Linked DNA regions of Danio rerio. The protein of the gene in region 1 purifies or fractionates together with the protein of each later gene. This does not show direct contact. Links are inferred from orthologs where the notes say so. Each region holds a gene or a part of one and is shown on either strand. Other genes may lie near its edges. The genes, in order: insig1 and scap.

Region 1 (9,148 bases):
ACAAAGAGCATCCTTGTTTTTTTTCTTCTGTTTGACTCTTTCTTCAAGGTGCCACTTAACGTCTCGATAGCTAATGTTTCTAGTCTTACTTTTGGTTTACATTAGCAACAAAGTATGGTAAAAACACGATCAATTCAGTCAGTATACTACACTAACCAGTCGGCACAAATGTGATTGGCAATCAAAGCTCTCTGGTATTCATAGTAATACTCAAAGTGGTCAGTCTTTAAGGGTAGCTCAAAAATCAAACTACAACTAATCCTATATAGACAGTACACAGACCTCTTTGGATATTTTAGGTATTCTTGTATTTATTCCCTTTGATTTCTTCTTTCAGTTCTCCAGCACAAAGTAAAACTAAAAAAGTGTGAATTTTCACACTGTCTTTTTTCCCCCTGGTCTTATCCATAGGACCAGCACACGCTCAATTGTAGATGTGGTTTCACAAGTAGTTTCATCGTCAGTGAAACCAGCTATGATTTTTTTTTCACAGTCCTATAGTGGCACTTCAGCAACCGTAACACTACTGCTAGGAGCTGTAACAACAACAACAACAACGACGATAATGACGCTGATGGTAGTAATGAATGCCAGGGGGAATCTTTTGGCTATTCAGAGGTGTTGTTCATGGCACATTGGGCCAGCTCAGACCAACCCGCTCTTTCTTTTCTTTTATAGTTATAAAGAGGAGCAAAATTAAAAGCAGAAGATACGCTTGGATAGACACCAGGGACGCCCAGTATAGAATATCAGATGTCCTTTTTTGGCACTCTTCGAAGCTCACTTCATGCCCTCTGACACCTGTTTAGTCATTATGAATCTTCTCAGTCGAGCCCTGTGGAAGAAGACAGACAGTCTGTTAGGTGAAAATACAGTATATTCACAACCAAATAGATACAACTGAAAAACAGCTCAATTTGCATTAAGTCCCTAATTTCCATAAAATATAGGAATGGGCATAAACTACACCAGCGTACAATACAACCAAAAAGCAGCATTAATATGCAGAAACTATCCTGACTATATTATTATGTATTAGTCAGAGCACTTGGCTGACTTTCAAACTACCTAAATATGTTCCAGCATGTTCCCAGGTGTGCTTTTAAAAATGTGCTTTGAGCAACTCAAAATTGGTTTTCATGAAGCTGAGCCTGATCCCGTTAAACCCACTTGGCCTCTCAACACTGTGGCCATAATTAGTATGCACTATATATAAGAAATGGGCTTTGTATATGTTAGGATTATATGTGGATGGGCAGCCTTGTAAAATTTGATAGCCCCTCGTAGGTCAGCACTGTCTGCCATGCCTCACCCAAGGGCAGCTGAATCCGTCTTTAGGAAAGCTAATGTTGAAATAAAAATGACAACGTTTCATATACAGGCAATGTTCTCTAAATGATTCCAGTGCACCTACAGTACACAACGAAATGACGATGATAAAAAGGTAAAGGTGTTAATGGTGTAAACTAGATATCGAACTATTTAATTAGTCAGATGTTAAACCAAACTATGTAGAGTGACCATAATTGATGATCATAGTTGTATTCTAAAATACAGCCATTATTTACATGAAAAGATTAACAAACGCAAACGTCCGGGTTTACTAGATTTATTTACCTCTAGTTTTTTTAATCAACTCTATCTCTTAACTGGCCCCTCCATAAAGAAAGCTGGGAAAAATACTAGCAGAGCACTAATCCCAATTGGTCAAGCAAAATCAGCCGATGCCAGCTCGAAAACAAAAAGCATCCAGTAACAACGTGTAGAATGCACCACTTGGAGCCAGTAAAGCACTTTGTTTACCATCTCTCTGACCATTAGCATGAAAAACAAGGAGCGTAATCTTCTTTCACGCCCTTATTGAGAAAGAACTAGGGTATGTCAGCAAGACAAAGAGCCACAGCTGACTGAGAAGGCTTGGAGGGGATGGCACAAACAAGCTAATTAAGATGTCCAAGCATGACGTTTCTGCTCAGGCGCTAGAGGGTGTCAAAAGAACACTAAAATGGTAAACTGGTTGCTTTAAAGAAATACATTGGATACTGAAAATAGTTTATACATATTTAAGAGAATGCACAAAAATCCTAAATCCTAGTTTTCATTTATTTAAGGCAGATTTAAAACTTAGTTAGCTTATTTTTATAAGTATAAATGAATATTACAATACAAACTGCCTGCCACTTTTCAGCTACCTAGTTTGTTCACATCTAGATAGTTTTACCTTCATCAAATACAATAACCCAAGCCATCTTTACACTTCCTTTTGCTAATGTTAAACTTGATTCCCAACCTAATTGGAATCAGTTTATGAAAGCCACAAGTCCTGTTTTAATGACTGTCTTTTAATGTCATTTAGAAAATAATCCTGTCTGAACAGAGCTTACGGCTGCATGCTAAATTGTACACATTGAAATTGTTGAGTTAAATATTCTGGCTCCAAGTTTGATTTACTTCCTAAAACACGCAGGCTGGATACAAGTAGAAGAGGAACAGCTGAATAGCTGATGAGCCAAGATATTGAGTTTCACTTTTGCTTTAGCTAAAGCTAAGTTTCATTTCTGCCATTTATTTATTTTAAGCTAAACAAAAGTGGCCATTGGCTTTGTGCATAACACAAGAGGAAACTAACCACAATACATGAGTAATCAAGTACATCAGTTATTCTGTGGAATATGAAAGACTGGAAAAGGGGGCTGGTATGAGGGGCAGTTTCTTACCATAGCTAGTTGTCTGCCAATATTTCCAACAGTCACTCCGCCAGAGAAGAATATACAAGGCAGCCATGAACGGACATACAAGAAGTCTGGAGAAGTATACCTGGTAACAAATGAAGAAAAGGACTGAAATGACGAGCTGCTTAAAGGAAAAACAAAACTGAGTGTTTGCACTTGATATAATATTTGCTAATGTTTCTTACAAAAAAAACATGTTCTACGACTAAAATTATGAATATGTGAGAGTGTTAGTTACTTGCTAGTTGATATGAAAACAGTTTTCTGTTGCTGTTTGTCAACATGTTTGAGTCATAACTTACTGGTAGATGCCGTTGTAGACCAGCAGCTGAGCAATGAGAGTGGCCAGCAGGGCAGTGGTCAGCCCTAAACCAAAGCCACTCCTGGAGCGGTCAAATGTCCACCACAGACCCAGAGACAGGGCAGCCAGAGTTAGCGATAGCTGCACATTGTTAGCAAAGTCCAGTTTCTGTAAGGTACTTTGAGTTAAGCAAAATATTCTTATGTTAACATACATTTTGAAAACATTGTGATGTTAACTCAAGAATTGAGTTTGTGCAGGTTCCCAAGTTTTTGCTGGTCCACACATTTGGAGAGCAGTAAACAGGTTCCACAAAAACTTTGTAGTCAAATTTATTAAAAACTTTTTTTTTTAGTTCTTAAAAAACCCAGTTCTCATTTACATGGGGTTTCTTGGCAATGAAGTGCATGTTACTGTTTGAGTTCAGAGTTAATGTAAAGTTTTAAGGTATATTTACATGACAACAAAAAATAAAAACTTTTATGCATTTTTGCTGTTCATTTACCCAAAAACACAGACTCAGAGTCGTCAAAACAAAACTTAAAAAAGGTTAAATGATATCGTGTGCAGAGTTTTCAACTTCTGGCCGGGTCAGAGTACTGAGCATTTCTAGTCATTTTTCAGCGTTATTACAACTATCCTCAATACATAAGACTTTTTAAAAATATTAGATAAGCATAATTCTCGTTGCATAGATTATTGCTGTGTAAATATGTTTAGTACTTTAACGGGTCACCCCACTTTTTTAGTTTAGCCTTTGATGTATAATTTGTCAAGATAAATTCAGGTTCAGACAAAAACAAATAAATATGTGACAGTTAAGAGATTAAGAAAAAAAAGGATTTGTCTAATGCTATTGAATAGTAACATGGCTTATTACAGACTTAAAACAAAAATCTCAAAAAGGTTTGGAAGTTTTCATTGTCCACAATGGTTGCAACTGTAAAAGTGTCACTGTTAAGGATACAGCACTGGCGTGATTGATGCCCACAAAGACAGCAATGCAGCGCATCACGCTTGCCCACTCCCGCTTGAACTTGTGTGGTTCTCCAAGATGGTGGTCCAAGCAGGGGTACAACAGACCAACCACAGCTGAGAAGAGAAAACAGAAAGTACTTTAAACAACATTCATTGAAAGGGGGAAAAAAGAAGAAGAAAAAAACATTTTTTACATCTGCTTGGTATTGTTTGACGCCTTTTAGTATATAAATAATGGGTGATGACTTTTGTGTTTAAATAAATCTCATAAGAAGAGTTCAAGTACAACAAAACTCTTTAAAAGGCATTTTCTACTGAAAAGGATGTAAACTGATACGCGTCCACATCACCACTATGAGGAATGCAGGGGGAGGAGTCGAGCGTGACCGAATTATTTATTAATTTCTGCTGCACACGACTTCCGTGTTTCTCTTTTCGGGTAAGTGGCATGTTCGGCGTACCAGCCAATGGCGTGCCTCTCTCGCAGCTCACCCGTTCTGAGCGCAGCCAATGAGAATGCAGCACCCCAAGAATGACCCCAAATGCCCGGCTGTTACCAGGGCAGCGCTTACTGATAGCTACAAAGCCCAATGTCAACAAAACTGTCCCCGAATCACTCATCTTACATAAAAGACACGATAACAAAAAGCCCTCAGCAAGCACACCGTCTTTGTTTGTTATCGTCACGAACAAAGCATTCGAGCCCAAGTGTTTCAGACAGACTCACCAGCAGCGGTGCCACAGCAGAGGGGAATCCACCAGGCGGACGAAAATAGCGTGTCCAGCACTTCCTCTGGAAACAATGTAACGTTTCTCTGGATCTGTAGCAAGTTTAACACCAAAGCGAGCACAACTCCCACGATAAACAACACAAGCCCCCGTCGAATTAAATTGGCGGACTGGAGGCTGTGCAGAGAGCCGTACGCGTGGCTCAGCACTGAGGTTATGATGGACATCATTTCACCCGTTTTACAGACAATCCAGCCGGCGCTTGACAGGTCCTTCGTCTTCACACTGGTCGAACAGGAGCAGCTCCAACAATGTTCCTCTAGTCTTGGCATTTGGCACTGTTGGAAAACAGTAATACTCATTAATAATTATCACTAACTTGATCAAATAAAATAATGTTGAAAGTCAAGTATTACGCTACAAAAAGCAGTGCTGTAGCCCAAAAAACAATCTGTTCCCAATGAGTATGAAGTGGAAGTAAAGGGAATGAATAGGCTACCCACCTTGATCTTTTAGCGATGTCTTCGTCTAAAGCAGAACACGTCTGTGCTTTCAAAACTCTTTTACAAAAACGAAAGGCTACCTACAAATAGTTTAGATGTGTTGTTTGATCACATCATCTGTAAGAGAAATACTGCTGCCTCTTTTCATCCCTCAGTTGAACACTGCCACACGCGCGCTTCCTCTGCAGAAAACAAGCGCGGTCATGTCTGGTGAGTCTCTCTAGCCAATCAGAGTGCGGCGGGCCATATGACGCGAACGCGCGCCACCCCTCTCTGACAGACACGCGCTGTTGATGTTCGCCATCAGCTGTTCGCCTTGTGTGTGTGTGTGTGTGTGTGTGTGTGCGTGTGCGTGTGTGCGTGTGCGTGTGTGCGTGTGCGTGTGTGTGTGTGTGTGTGTGTGTGTGTGTGTGTGTGTGTGTGTGTGTGTGTGTGTGTGTGTGTGTGTGTTGACGCTATGCCAGAGTCATGCAGAAAAGTCTTAAACTTCTAGATTGGTTAAGTTTAATGACCTTGCTTTGCTAAATCCTTTTCAGTAACTAAGCAATACAGCACTGATTCGAGATTTTCTCAGTGTTCAATATTGCTGTTCTCCTGTTTGCACAAAACAAACTACTTGTTGGGTAAATGTATTTGTAATCTTTTCAGGGTACAGACAAGAAAGCTTTTTGCTGATATGAACTTTTTTTTAGTTCACTATGAGTGAACAGGCCCTGAAAGTGTATGAGATAATGCGGATTTGTTGGCTATACGTGACAGCGTGCAGTACGTGTCCGTGAGACTGAAAACAAGAAATCAGGTCATGATGCTCAGTGGGCTGTTCCCCCACTGTAAATAAACTTGTGTACTTATAGTTTATTGATTCAGAGCAGAACAGAGTTCAGTCTCTTACCTCAGTGGAACCACTCCTCACCAGATAAATGAGTCTGATGTTTGCCCCTTGTCAAGAATGACTGTCAACAACTCTTTAGCTGCTGTTTTTACAATAAAGGTTCCAAAATGGGCTTTTCGTTGCAGTGCTAGAAAATAACCATTTTTGATATCTAAAAAGCTTTTGTGTTGATGAAAGTTCAGAAAAGAAGCATTATTTTATTGGTGTGAAAGACATCCTAAACACATTAATGAACCTTTTTTCAACAGAGAAACTTATGTGCAATGGAAACGTGCTGTGGATGTTAACGAGTCACGAAACACCAAAACACATTTTTTTGAGATGTTGACAATCATAAATATGACTCACGTTGCTAAAACACTATTAGGACACATATATTTCACAAAAAAGTGAAAATTGGTGGGTTTTGCAATATTTGAGCCAATTCATTCTTCAGATTTAAAAAGAAATTTTGAAGCTGCGTTACGGCCATGAGATCATAGTGTAAATTCCAGCATGGAGACTGGATGTCTGAACCGGTACAACATGATGTCTGAGTTTTCAGCATAAATTCATTACAAAGACTTGGTTCGAACCAATCAGCGCGCTCTACTGTGAATGAGGTGCAACTTCATTAATATGCATGATATAGTTCAAAGACGGTTTTTACCTGTTACAGTGCCCAGATGACCAACCATAATTAAAACAAGTAGTAGAAGAAGAATTGTTTGGAGATATGGATCGTCAGTGTTTTTTTTACCAGATGAGCTTTTCACATCTGGAAATGGTGAAATCCAGATTTGCCGCTTTCCTTCTTTTAAAAAAAACGCGGTTCTAGTTGATGTTGATTGTCCTGTCTAGTTTTGGTAAGCGATCAGTGTTCTTTGTTTATGTTAATTAAGATGGCAAACTGCGATATCAAATTATATTAAAACAACACTCTTCCAGCTGTTAATCTCATCCAATATCTTGTTTGTCACAGGGGGCATGAATGAAATGTTCCTGAATGAAAGTGAAAGAGTCAAACTGTAGTTGAAGTCAACAAATTAAAAATGAAACACCCGAAATTACATCAAATTACATTACTCCGGAGGAAATGTGGAAATGTGGATAGCGTGATGACGTTATAATCGAATTTTGTGCTATAACATGTAAAACAGGATCATGAAAGGAACATTCAAAAAGCTACTCATAAACACCTTAATCATAATATTGCCATATTCAGAAATAATTTGATTACTGATTTCCATGTAAACGTGTCTATCTCCACTCCATTAGCTTCTGCTCTGGAAAGACGCTTCTTTGGAAATCACAATATTCTTAATAATCGGCTAATAAAGTAAAGCGCTGAAGTGAAACCCTTTTCTCTAATACTCTGTTTCAGCTGGAATTATGTCATAATACTGAAGTCTGTTTAAGACCTAAGGTTCCTGCAGACTATAAGTACGCACATGTTGGAATGTTCAAAAGCAGTCTGAGAGTTTTGCAAATAAATTGGGAGTAAAATATCTGTTACAACTTTCAGTGATTTTTATAAGTTTAAAACTTTTTTAAAACAGCATGTTTGGAATTAAGACAGTAAAATGCTATCCAATTCTTAACCACTATATTCACCACGACTGTATCGTGTCAGTAAACATAATGTGTGTGTGTGTGTGTGTGTGTGTGTGTACTGCAAACAGCATTTGTGTGAGATTCATAATTTCAGGAAGGCTTGAAAAAACTCCACCACAAATACATGAAATAAACTTGGTATTTTTGATGAATAACTGTATTTCAGCTTTATTCAAGTCTGTCTCTGTCGCTGTGCTGTTTATCTGACATACCGCATGATCAGAAGCAGACACACACATGGGAAGGTGGGCAGAGAGAAGAAGCTCATTTGCATTTAAAGCCACAGGCTACAAAAACAGCTACACTGTATTTAGACACCAAAAATGGGCAAATTCTGGAGGCTTTAAAGGGCCATGAACCCCCCCACTTACGGTTTAAGTCTACCTCAGAAATTTAAAAAAAAGCATCATAATGGGTGTGGAGCTCCTTGAGCAGAGGCAGGAGTGGGTGTGGCCAGCAGAGCAGGGGAGAAGGAGGGGAACTGTTGTCAGTTGGCAACACAAAATGAGACACAAACCTTGAGGAGATCCATGATTTTAAGGTTTCCAAAGTTAAAATGCAAAGAAATAAACAGTAATATAATGCCCTGCTACATTTGTTTTTTTTTTGATGATCAACAAATCTTTAAAAACCTCAACAACAAAAAAAAAGTGCTCGAGGGTTTCCTGAACCTTTAATAAATAATCAGATGGGTATTTTGAGCTGAAACTTTACAGACACATTTTGGAGACACCAAAGGCTTGTCTTACATCTTGTGAAGGGTGTAAAATAGGTGCCCTTTAAAAACTAAAATTTAGGAAGATCAACATCATGCCTCTTATATTGTGCGACTAAAGTCTTAATTATTAGACATGTTTATTATTTACGGTTTGGCATCCAGCAGTAAAAAAATCCTCAGTACAATTGAGTATTTTTATTAACAAGTTTGCAGTGGAGCAGGGGGTAGTATGTTCACCTCATAACAAGAAGGTCGCTGGTTCCAGCCTCAGCTGGGTCACTTGGCATTTCTGTGTGGAGTTTGCATGTTTCCCTGTGTTCGCGTGAGTTTTCTCTGGATGCTCCGTTTTATCCCACAAGTCCAAAGTCATTTAGTACAGGTGAATTGGGTAAGCTAAAATTGACCGTAGTGTCTGAGTGTGTGTGAATGAATGAGTGTGTATGGAAGTTTCCCAGTGATGGGTTGTGGCTGGAAGTGCATCTGCTGCATAAAACATGCTGGATAAGTTGGTGGTTCATTCCACTCTAGCGACCTCAGATTAATAAAGGGATTAAGTCGAAAAGAAATTGAATGAATGAATGAATAAAAAGGTTTGTTGCAACGAGTCTTGAATTGGTCATAGTCTCAGTCATTGTGGGGTTTAAAATTAGGCTGATAGTTTGTGTGACCAGCACTTAGCCTAAGAATGTATGTAGCACACAG
Region 2 (8,443 bases), on another chromosome or scaffold:
CAAGATATTAACTGTTTTTAAGTACTAATAAGGTATGATCTTATTCTCTGAATCCCTAATCCTACCTTAAACCAAAACCCACTTCTACCTGACTAACTATTAATAAACAGCTATTAATAATTAGTAGATTATTAAGATACTAGTGTTAGTTAATGGTTTGGTAATACTGTGAATTGTGACCTAAACTAAAGTGTTACCCTTTCACATTCATAAACGGCTGTATCACACACTTCATGAATGATAATACCAAAAAAAGTGTACTGGGGCATTTTCAGTGAAGTGTGTAATTTAATTTGTTTTGCAATAGACACATTTAAGGAAAAATAGGCAGTATTTAAGCACATCTTGCCTCGATTGGACAGGTTGTTTTAGACTGTTGTTTTGAATATTAAGGTTTAACATAGTTTTAATGATGATAACAGTCTGTATTTTTATTTACATTACTATCGTTCAATGTAATTCCTGATTGACTGTTTGCACTATCCAATTCCCCTCGAAATGAATCCCATTCTTGTATATAATGTTAAATTAATATTATAGAGCAATTATATCTATTATTTACTTTATATATTTATTTATTTATTAAATATTTATTTTGTTTATATTGTTTATTCTCATATTTCTTTAATGCTAAAGGTCACTTCGAGCCACCAAGCTAATTTCATTGTATCACTACAAGTCTCTTATGCTTTATAATGTGTGTGTGTTTGTGCAGAGTGGCAGCTCTTGGGCTTTTCGCTGGTGTTTTGCTGGTGCTCTTACTCTTCTGTCTGTATCGTGTGCTCTGCCCTCGAAACTATGGGCAGAACGGTGTGCCCCATGGCCGTCGTCGTCGTGGAGACCTGCCCTGCGATGAGTACGGATATTCACCCCCCATCAGTGAAATTTCCCCTCTGCTGCTGAGAGGTCACAGTATGGTACGTTGACTGGAGTCATGCAGGATTGAATTTATTTTTCCATAAATACAGTCTTGAGATATTTAAAAGATCTTTTGGCACCTCTCTTCAGGACATTGAGTGTCTGGCCAGTGATGGCATGCTGCTGGCCAGCTGTTGCCTGGCAGGACAGATCCGTGTATGGGACGCACAGACTGGAGACTGTCTCACTGTTATACCCAACAAAGGGTAAGGAAATGTATAACTATAATAAATAGACAGACTGCTTAATGTTCAATTAATGTACACTCAAAAAATTATATTTACTGTAATCTGCTTGTTTAAAATATTTTTGGGGGGGGCAACTTAATTATTTTATGTTCAACCCTTTTTAATTCGTAAAATCGAATAAGTTAACTGATCATTTTTATGTTGTCCCAACACAAATCGATTTTGTGGAACCCAGCATTTTTAATGATGTACATATAAAATAAAGTTTTTTTTACATATATAATAATAAATGTGCATATAGACAATTAATAAAATATTACATTCATTCATTCATTTTCTTTTCGGCTTAGTCCCTATATTAATCTGGGGTCGCCACAGTGGAATGAACCACCAACTTATGCAGCGCATGCCTTTCCAGCCGCAACCCATCTCTGGGAAACATCCACACACACTCATTCTCACACACAAACACTCATACACTACGGACAATTTAGCCTACCCAATTCACCTGTACCGCATGTCTTTGGACTGTGGGGGAAACCAGAGCACCCGGAGGAAACCCAAGCAAACGCAGAGAGAACATGCAAACTCCACACAGAAACACAGAGGCTCGAACCAGTGACCTTCTTGCTGTGAGGTGACAGCACTACCTACTGCGCCACTGCGTCACTGGAAAATACTATATTTTACATTCATTTTAACTGTTTTAAAAATTGTTATTTCCACTAGTCCTGGATTTATTTGATAATATTACAAAAAAACATGATAATATAAATTGTAAACATTTTTAAATGGTCGATGTGGTTAGTGGTTAGTGCATCGACATAGCACTGAGATGCTTACAGAGATTGATTCCTTTCCGATTCTACCCCTCTCTCTGCTCCCCATGAATTCTTGTCTCTACTTACTTTCTTATAAAATAAAATAAAAAAACGTTAAAAAATATATATATGTATATATATATATATATTTTTTTTTTTTTATTGAAGTATTGCTACAATAAAATGTTTTCTTTTAAATATTACTGTGACTAAAATATTGCTATAATATTACCTGTGATGTTGATTTTTTTTATTATTACAGCGCAAAGTCTTAAAATGTCTTACATTTAAAAAAACATTTTAAATGGGTCTTAGTTTTCCTTTGTTTATGCAAAGCTACCCAGTTGAAAAAGAAATGTGCGCACATCTAGGAATCTCAAAGGCTGGTGCTCGATCAAAAACAAACACCGTAACAAAAGAAAATCGACGCACTGCCACTTTACCTCTCAAAAAAATTGAGATGGTCACCTGATGAAGACCATGTAGTTCGAAACATGACATTAAAACATTTTTTGAGAGCTACAGTTAAGTGGCAGTGTGCCGATTTTCTTTTAATCTAAAGCTACCCATTGATCTATCACACATCCAATCTTTAATAATACATCTCAATAAAACTTTTACCAATAGTCTATTCATAACTAATATTATTACAGTCTTTTGTGCATACATTTAGTTTATTAAAGTTTTAAAGAGTTATTTTTAAGTTATGCTAAAACAAATTGCATGGATTTAAAGTGGGAACATTTTTAAAATATGTGCAGAACAAGCAATGAGATGCTGATTAACTGATCATACAGTATTCATTGTGTGTTAGTCTTTCCATGCTTTTTTGGCATGGTAAAATAAAACCCATATTTTGTCATAAACCATTTTCTCATTTAAATACCATACACAAGTTTAGTGTTTTCCTCTTCCCAATGTATCTTGTTTATCATATCTTGCTGGTTTAATTCAACTTACACAATAATAAAAAAAAAAAAATCACCTTGACCACTACTGTATTGTGTATTTTAACATGCTTGTGTCCTCTGTTAGCCTGCGCAGGAGCAGCAGCAACGGTTGTTGGGAGCACCGTGATGGCTGGGATCACATCAGTGCTTTTGAAGTAGAGGGAATAGCTACAGACTTTCGAGAACCAGGAGGAGCGATGGGAGGCCCAGATGTAGATATTTTCGCTATAAGGAGGAGGACCACCCCTGCTCGTCCTGCACTGTTTGGAGACCAACCAGACCTCACGCCTCTCATCGACACCAACTTCGGGGCGCTGCCTCCATCTCAGGCCCTGAGCGGCTCTGGCTTTGACTTTGGGAGTTTGGTGGAGAAAGCGTACCAGGAGCATGAGCCCTCTCCAGTGTTGGTCTTCCCTCCGTCTCCTCCAGCCTCACAGCAGAGACGCCGCAGCCTCGGGGATCAGCCGGTCCTGCCTCCTGAGCTCCCTCCACAGAGCAGTGCAGACTGGGACAGCTCAGTGTGGGCCATGGAGCTCAGGGGGAACCTCATTGCTACGGGCCGCAGCACTGGAAAATTGGAGGTGAGGGAAAGATGTGATGTTTTTTAACCGTAAATACCTAAAGTTAAAGCCAATATAATTTTTTCTTTTTCAAATATTTTCCAAATGATATTTAACAGAGCAAGGAATTTTTAAAAGTATTTCCTGTAATATCTTTTCTTCTGGAGAAAGTCTTATTTGTTTTATTTCAGCTTGAATAAAACCAGTTGAATTTTTTTTAAAACCATTTTAAGGTCAATATTATTAGCCCCCCTTAAGCAATATTTGTTTTTTGATAGTCTACAGAACAAACCATCGTTATACAATGAGTTGCCTAATTACCCTAACTTGCCTTATCAACCTAGCCTTTAAATGTCAGTTTTAAGCCTTTAAATTTAACTTTAAGCTGAATACCAGCATCTTGATGTCTAGTAAAATAATATGTACTGTCAACATGGCTAAGACAAAATAAATCAGTTATTAAACTATTTTGTTTAAAAATGTGCTGAAAATTGTATGTACATTTTAGGATTCTTATAAAAAACAGCGTTTTTAAGTACAAATATCCCCATAAATACTAATAATGTGCTCAACTGGGTGTACATTTTGAATCAGATTAAAAGATATTATGTTCATGAACTTGATGGAAACACATTTTCTGAATAAATTCCTTGATGCACATCAAAACCATCTTAGGATTTTTCCTCAACAGATAATGTGATTGTATAACTAGATTAACCAGTAAACTGGTTTGCTATCTACTGGTCTGAGGTGGAACTGAAGTGTAAAGAGGAAAAAAAGATAAAAAAATATATATTATTCATATGTGACCCTGCCCTGGAACACACCACCTTATGGTGATTTTGGCAAACGACAAAAATGCATTTAATGGGTTCAAATTATAAATTTTTCTTTCATGCAAAAAAACATATTTGAGTATTAAATAAAAATTGTGTTCCATTTTATATATTTAGTAAATTTCGGTCTGTAAATGTATCAAAACTCGTTACTAGGGCCAGACATAATCTGCGGACATTGTGTGCTATTTCTGCTGAGAATTTAGTAAAAAAAATAAGATTTATTTGGAATGATTAGGAGTATCGTAACTAAAAACTTAATATATATAAAATAATATAATATATGTTTTTAACTTTTATTTCATTTTTAATTTATTTTCATTACTTAATTTAAACAACTTTTAAAGGCAGTTTTGTCAGTATTTGCATGTTTTTGATGTTTTGAAACCTCAGATTCTCTGATAGTTGTTTCTCTGTCAGATATTGATCTATCCTAACAACGTATACATCAATGAAAAGCCTATTTATTTTTTTAATAAAGAAATGACATTTAAGACATTTATCATTCTAGTTTCTTCGTTTTCTTAACTTTCCTTCTGTTGAACCCATGAAAATGTAAACTGCACTTTATAAATATTTCTATTTTTAAGCATAATGTAAATTCAGAACTTTGGATGGGCTCATAGCTAGGGTTTTTAACTTACCTTCTTTATTTTCTGTTCTACCAGCTGTGGGATGCAGTAGAGGGATCTTTACGGTGCAGTAATGAAGATGGAGTTTCTGGAATTACAGCCTTGGCTTTTCTTAACAACAGGTGCATTTCACAGCAATATGAATTGCATGCCTAAGCCACACCAGTTTCACACCAGCTTGCATTCTTCTGCTAACAGTGATGTTTTCTTTTGCAGAATTGTTGCAGCCCGATTAAATGGCTCACTGGATTTTTTCACAGTGGAGATCAACAAGCCACTCGGGTTGCTGCAATATCGAGGTGAGGCATGTCTTTAAGTATTCGGCAAAGAACATTAAAACACTTCTGTTTTTAAAAACCCTGCAAATATCAGGGAATGTAGTGTCAGGAAATGTAATGAAAATTGAAATGTGATGTATACTCATTGACTTAAGTAATTTTTTGACAGTTCACTAAATGCTCTAAATAGCACTTTAAAAAAAATCCTTCAACTCCTCGAATTTCATTGTACGTACAAACCATGATATTATTAAAGATTTTAAGCGAATTAAAAATATATCAAGTCTGGGTAAAGTTTTATTATTGTAGTTTTCTTTGCGGCATGTGTGATTTCAGGGAAATAGTTTTTAGAACTCCAGACCCAATGTTAAAAAAAGAACTGGTAAATTTCTGGAAATATATTAGATCAGAAGGCATGGAAATGTAAAAAATAGTTTACCTGATATATATTTTTGCATCAGGACCACCAGGCCGAGGTAGTCTACCACCGTCCCCCTGTTACAGCAGCGAGGATGTAATCAGCTGTCATCTCACTCGCTCAGTACAGTGTGCCCATCAGAAACCCATCACTGTGCTGAAAGCTGCTGCTGGCAGAGTGGTCACCGGCAGCCAGGACCATACAGTCAGGGTAAGATCATTTATATATAACACACACACACACATATATATATATATATATATATATATATATATATATATATATATATATATATATATATATATATATATATTTATTACAATAGCTTGATAATCTGAAAAGCAAAGGAAGCAACACTTATATAATAAAGTTTACCTAAAATATTAGGTGCTAACGCTTTATGTAGGCACAGATTCTGATTCCTACAGTTAACGCATGCCTACTTTTTATTTAATCTAATTCAGTTCATTTCAATTCAAGTTTATTTGCATAGCGCTTTTTACAATAATTCTAATTTTAATTCCTTTTTAGGTGTATCGTTTGGAGGATTCTTGTTGCCTCTTCACCCTGCAGGGCCACTCAGGTGGTATAACCGCCATCTACATAGACCAGGTCAGAAGCACACCACTATATCACACTTGCATGCTTGTGCAGTACTGCAATGATTGATTAATTGATTGATTGGTTGGTTGGTTGATTGGTTGATTGATTGACAATGAATGGACAAATAAATTAATGTGTGGTTGGTATGTGGAAATATGAGTGAATGGATAGATAGATGGTGACAATGGTGCATACATGGTTGGATACAGGGGTGAATACTAGGTATGAGCTGTTATAAGATTCTGATGGTATGATAACCTTGGATAAAAATATCACGGTTTCACAGTATCATGGTATTGTGATCACTGCTTTAAAATACAATTTTTATTTTCATTTATTTTATTTTTAGTTTATTTTAAATGTCTGGGTAAAAACACAACAACTTTTTGTCAATATATTTTATTTTAAGAAACATTTAAAATAGTTTGGAACAGTAAACATGTCAGACTAAATAACAAAAATAAATCATTGCCTTCTAAAATCGACTTCTTTATCCTTTACTTTTCCCAATTTGTGAAGTTTTTTTTCCTCACCACTGTCACCACTGGCTTGCATAGTTCGGGACTTGTAGAGCTGCGCACCGATGGATTTGCTCTTCAGTGTTTGGACTCTCAACAGTGAATATTAAAACACACTGAACTGAGCTAAACTGAACTACACTTAAACTCTAAAAACTAAAATGACACCATTTCAGTTCACTTTAATCTTCTATGTAAGCCTGCTTTGACACTATCTACATTGTAAAAGCACTATGCAAATAAAGATGAATTGAATTAAAAAGTTAAAAAATTTTATTCAATTTCATATACTGTAGGAACGGTATTACAGGAACATTTAACATTTAGGTTTTAAAACGTTGACTTTTCCAAAACCACAGTAAACCTTGAAACTAGTTATTATCCCATGCCTAGTGAATACATGGATGTATTGTTGTTGGATACATGAATGAACACATGGAGGATACATACATGTATGGGTGCATAAATGCATATTTTGATGGATGGAAGTATATAATATTGGGTGGATATGTTGATTGATAGATAAGATATCTATATTCAGGGTTCCCATAATGATGACATTTTATAAGGTTTATTCCAGACCTATTGAAAGTCAGGGGATTTTATATTTGTTTGGTCCAGGTCATGTCATAACAGGGAAATCAAGAGTTTGTCATTTAAAATTTTACTTAAATATAAATATAAATATATATATATATTTTTCACTTAAATTTTATTCCTTTTCTCACTTGGCAACTGGCAATTATACAGTCACCAGGCTGAACCTGTTAAAATACTGTCACTGGCTAAATTTTGTCTGCTCAGTGCTCAACCAGTCCCTCCTAGATTTAACAAAATTAAGTTTTGATTTTTGCAGCCTAATAGGACTATTCTCCAAATTTGTGGCAATATTTACGACATTTGTTGTGTTGTTTTGAAAACATACACAAAATCACACATCTTAGTAGTATTGTTTTTTTTACCTGAAGATCTACTCAAGACAACTTCTGACTTTTTTTTCATCATAAGTCATGGAAAAAATTTTTAGTCAGTAAAATTCAGGGAACAGTCATGCCATTTTACATTAGACTTTAAATGGAAACGATGTATATTAATTGATGGATGAATGAATGGATGGATAGGTGGGTTAAATCATTTAACTTTCTGTTATTACAATAGTAAGCACATGATTCAGGAGCACTAAAATAAAGTGTTACCTATTCTCTCCAACACTAATGTCCTTCTGTGCTTTGTTATAGACTATGGTTCTAGCCAGTGGAGGCCAAGATGGAGCCATCTGCGTGTGGGATGTCCTAACAGGCAGCCGGGTGAGCCACGTGTACGGTCATCGTGGTGATGTCACCTCACTGGTTTGCACAACATCCTGCATCATTAGCAGCGGTTTGGATGACCTCATTTGCATTTGGGACCGAAGCACAGGCATTAAGCTGTACTCAATACAACAGGTGCGTGATTGGAAGAGTTAAAGGGATAGTTCACACAAAAATCACTATTTACTCACCCGCAAATGTTTTCAACCGAGTTTCTGCCTTCTGTCGAACACTTTTGAAGAAAACTTTCATAAAAGGAACTTTCATAATAGGAAAAACAAACACTATGGAAGTCTATGGTTACAGGATTCAAACACTTTTCAAAGTATCGTAATTTGTGTTACACAGAAGAAAGAAACTGAAACAGTGTTGGAAAACAGCATTGTTGTAAATAAAAATACATCATCATTA

The links.
Region 2: the proteins of insig1 (region 1) and scap purify together in Homo sapiens (affinity purification with western blotting; 11 studies listed by BioGRID and IntAct, with this or other methods). This does not show direct contact. The link is inferred for Danio rerio from reciprocal best matches to the Homo sapiens genes INSIG1 and SCAP.

What each region holds. Positions count from the first base shown.
Region 1 is NC_133182.1:41,357,370-41,366,517, forward strand, and holds insig1 (insulin-induced gene 1 protein), read right to left. Parts: upstream 5,403-9,148; 5' UTR 5,244-5,402; intron 5,079-5,243; 5' UTR 5,073-5,078; coding exon 4,739-5,072; intron 4,126-4,738; coding exon 4,001-4,125; intron 3,386-4,000; exon of another isoform or gene 3,202-3,385; coding exon 3,035-3,201; exon of another isoform or gene 2,818-3,034; coding exon 2,718-2,817; intron 836-2,717; coding exon 806-835; 3' UTR 29-805; downstream 1-28. UniProt on the Homo sapiens protein: Oxysterol-binding protein that mediates feedback control of cholesterol synthesis by controlling both endoplasmic reticulum to Golgi transport of SCAP and degradation of HMGCR.
Region 2 is NC_133191.1:45,513,415-45,521,857, forward strand, and holds part of scap (sterol regulatory element-binding protein cleavage-activating protein), read left to right. Parts: intron 1-715; coding exon 716-917; intron 918-1,008; coding exon 1,009-1,124; intron 1,125-2,962; coding exon 2,963-3,458; intron 3,459-4,941; coding exon 4,942-5,027; intron 5,028-5,121; coding exon 5,122-5,204; intron 5,205-5,644; coding exon 5,645-5,811; intron 5,812-6,132; coding exon 6,133-6,213; intron 6,214-7,960; coding exon 7,961-8,167; intron 8,168-8,443. UniProt on the Homo sapiens protein: Escort protein required for cholesterol as well as lipid homeostasis.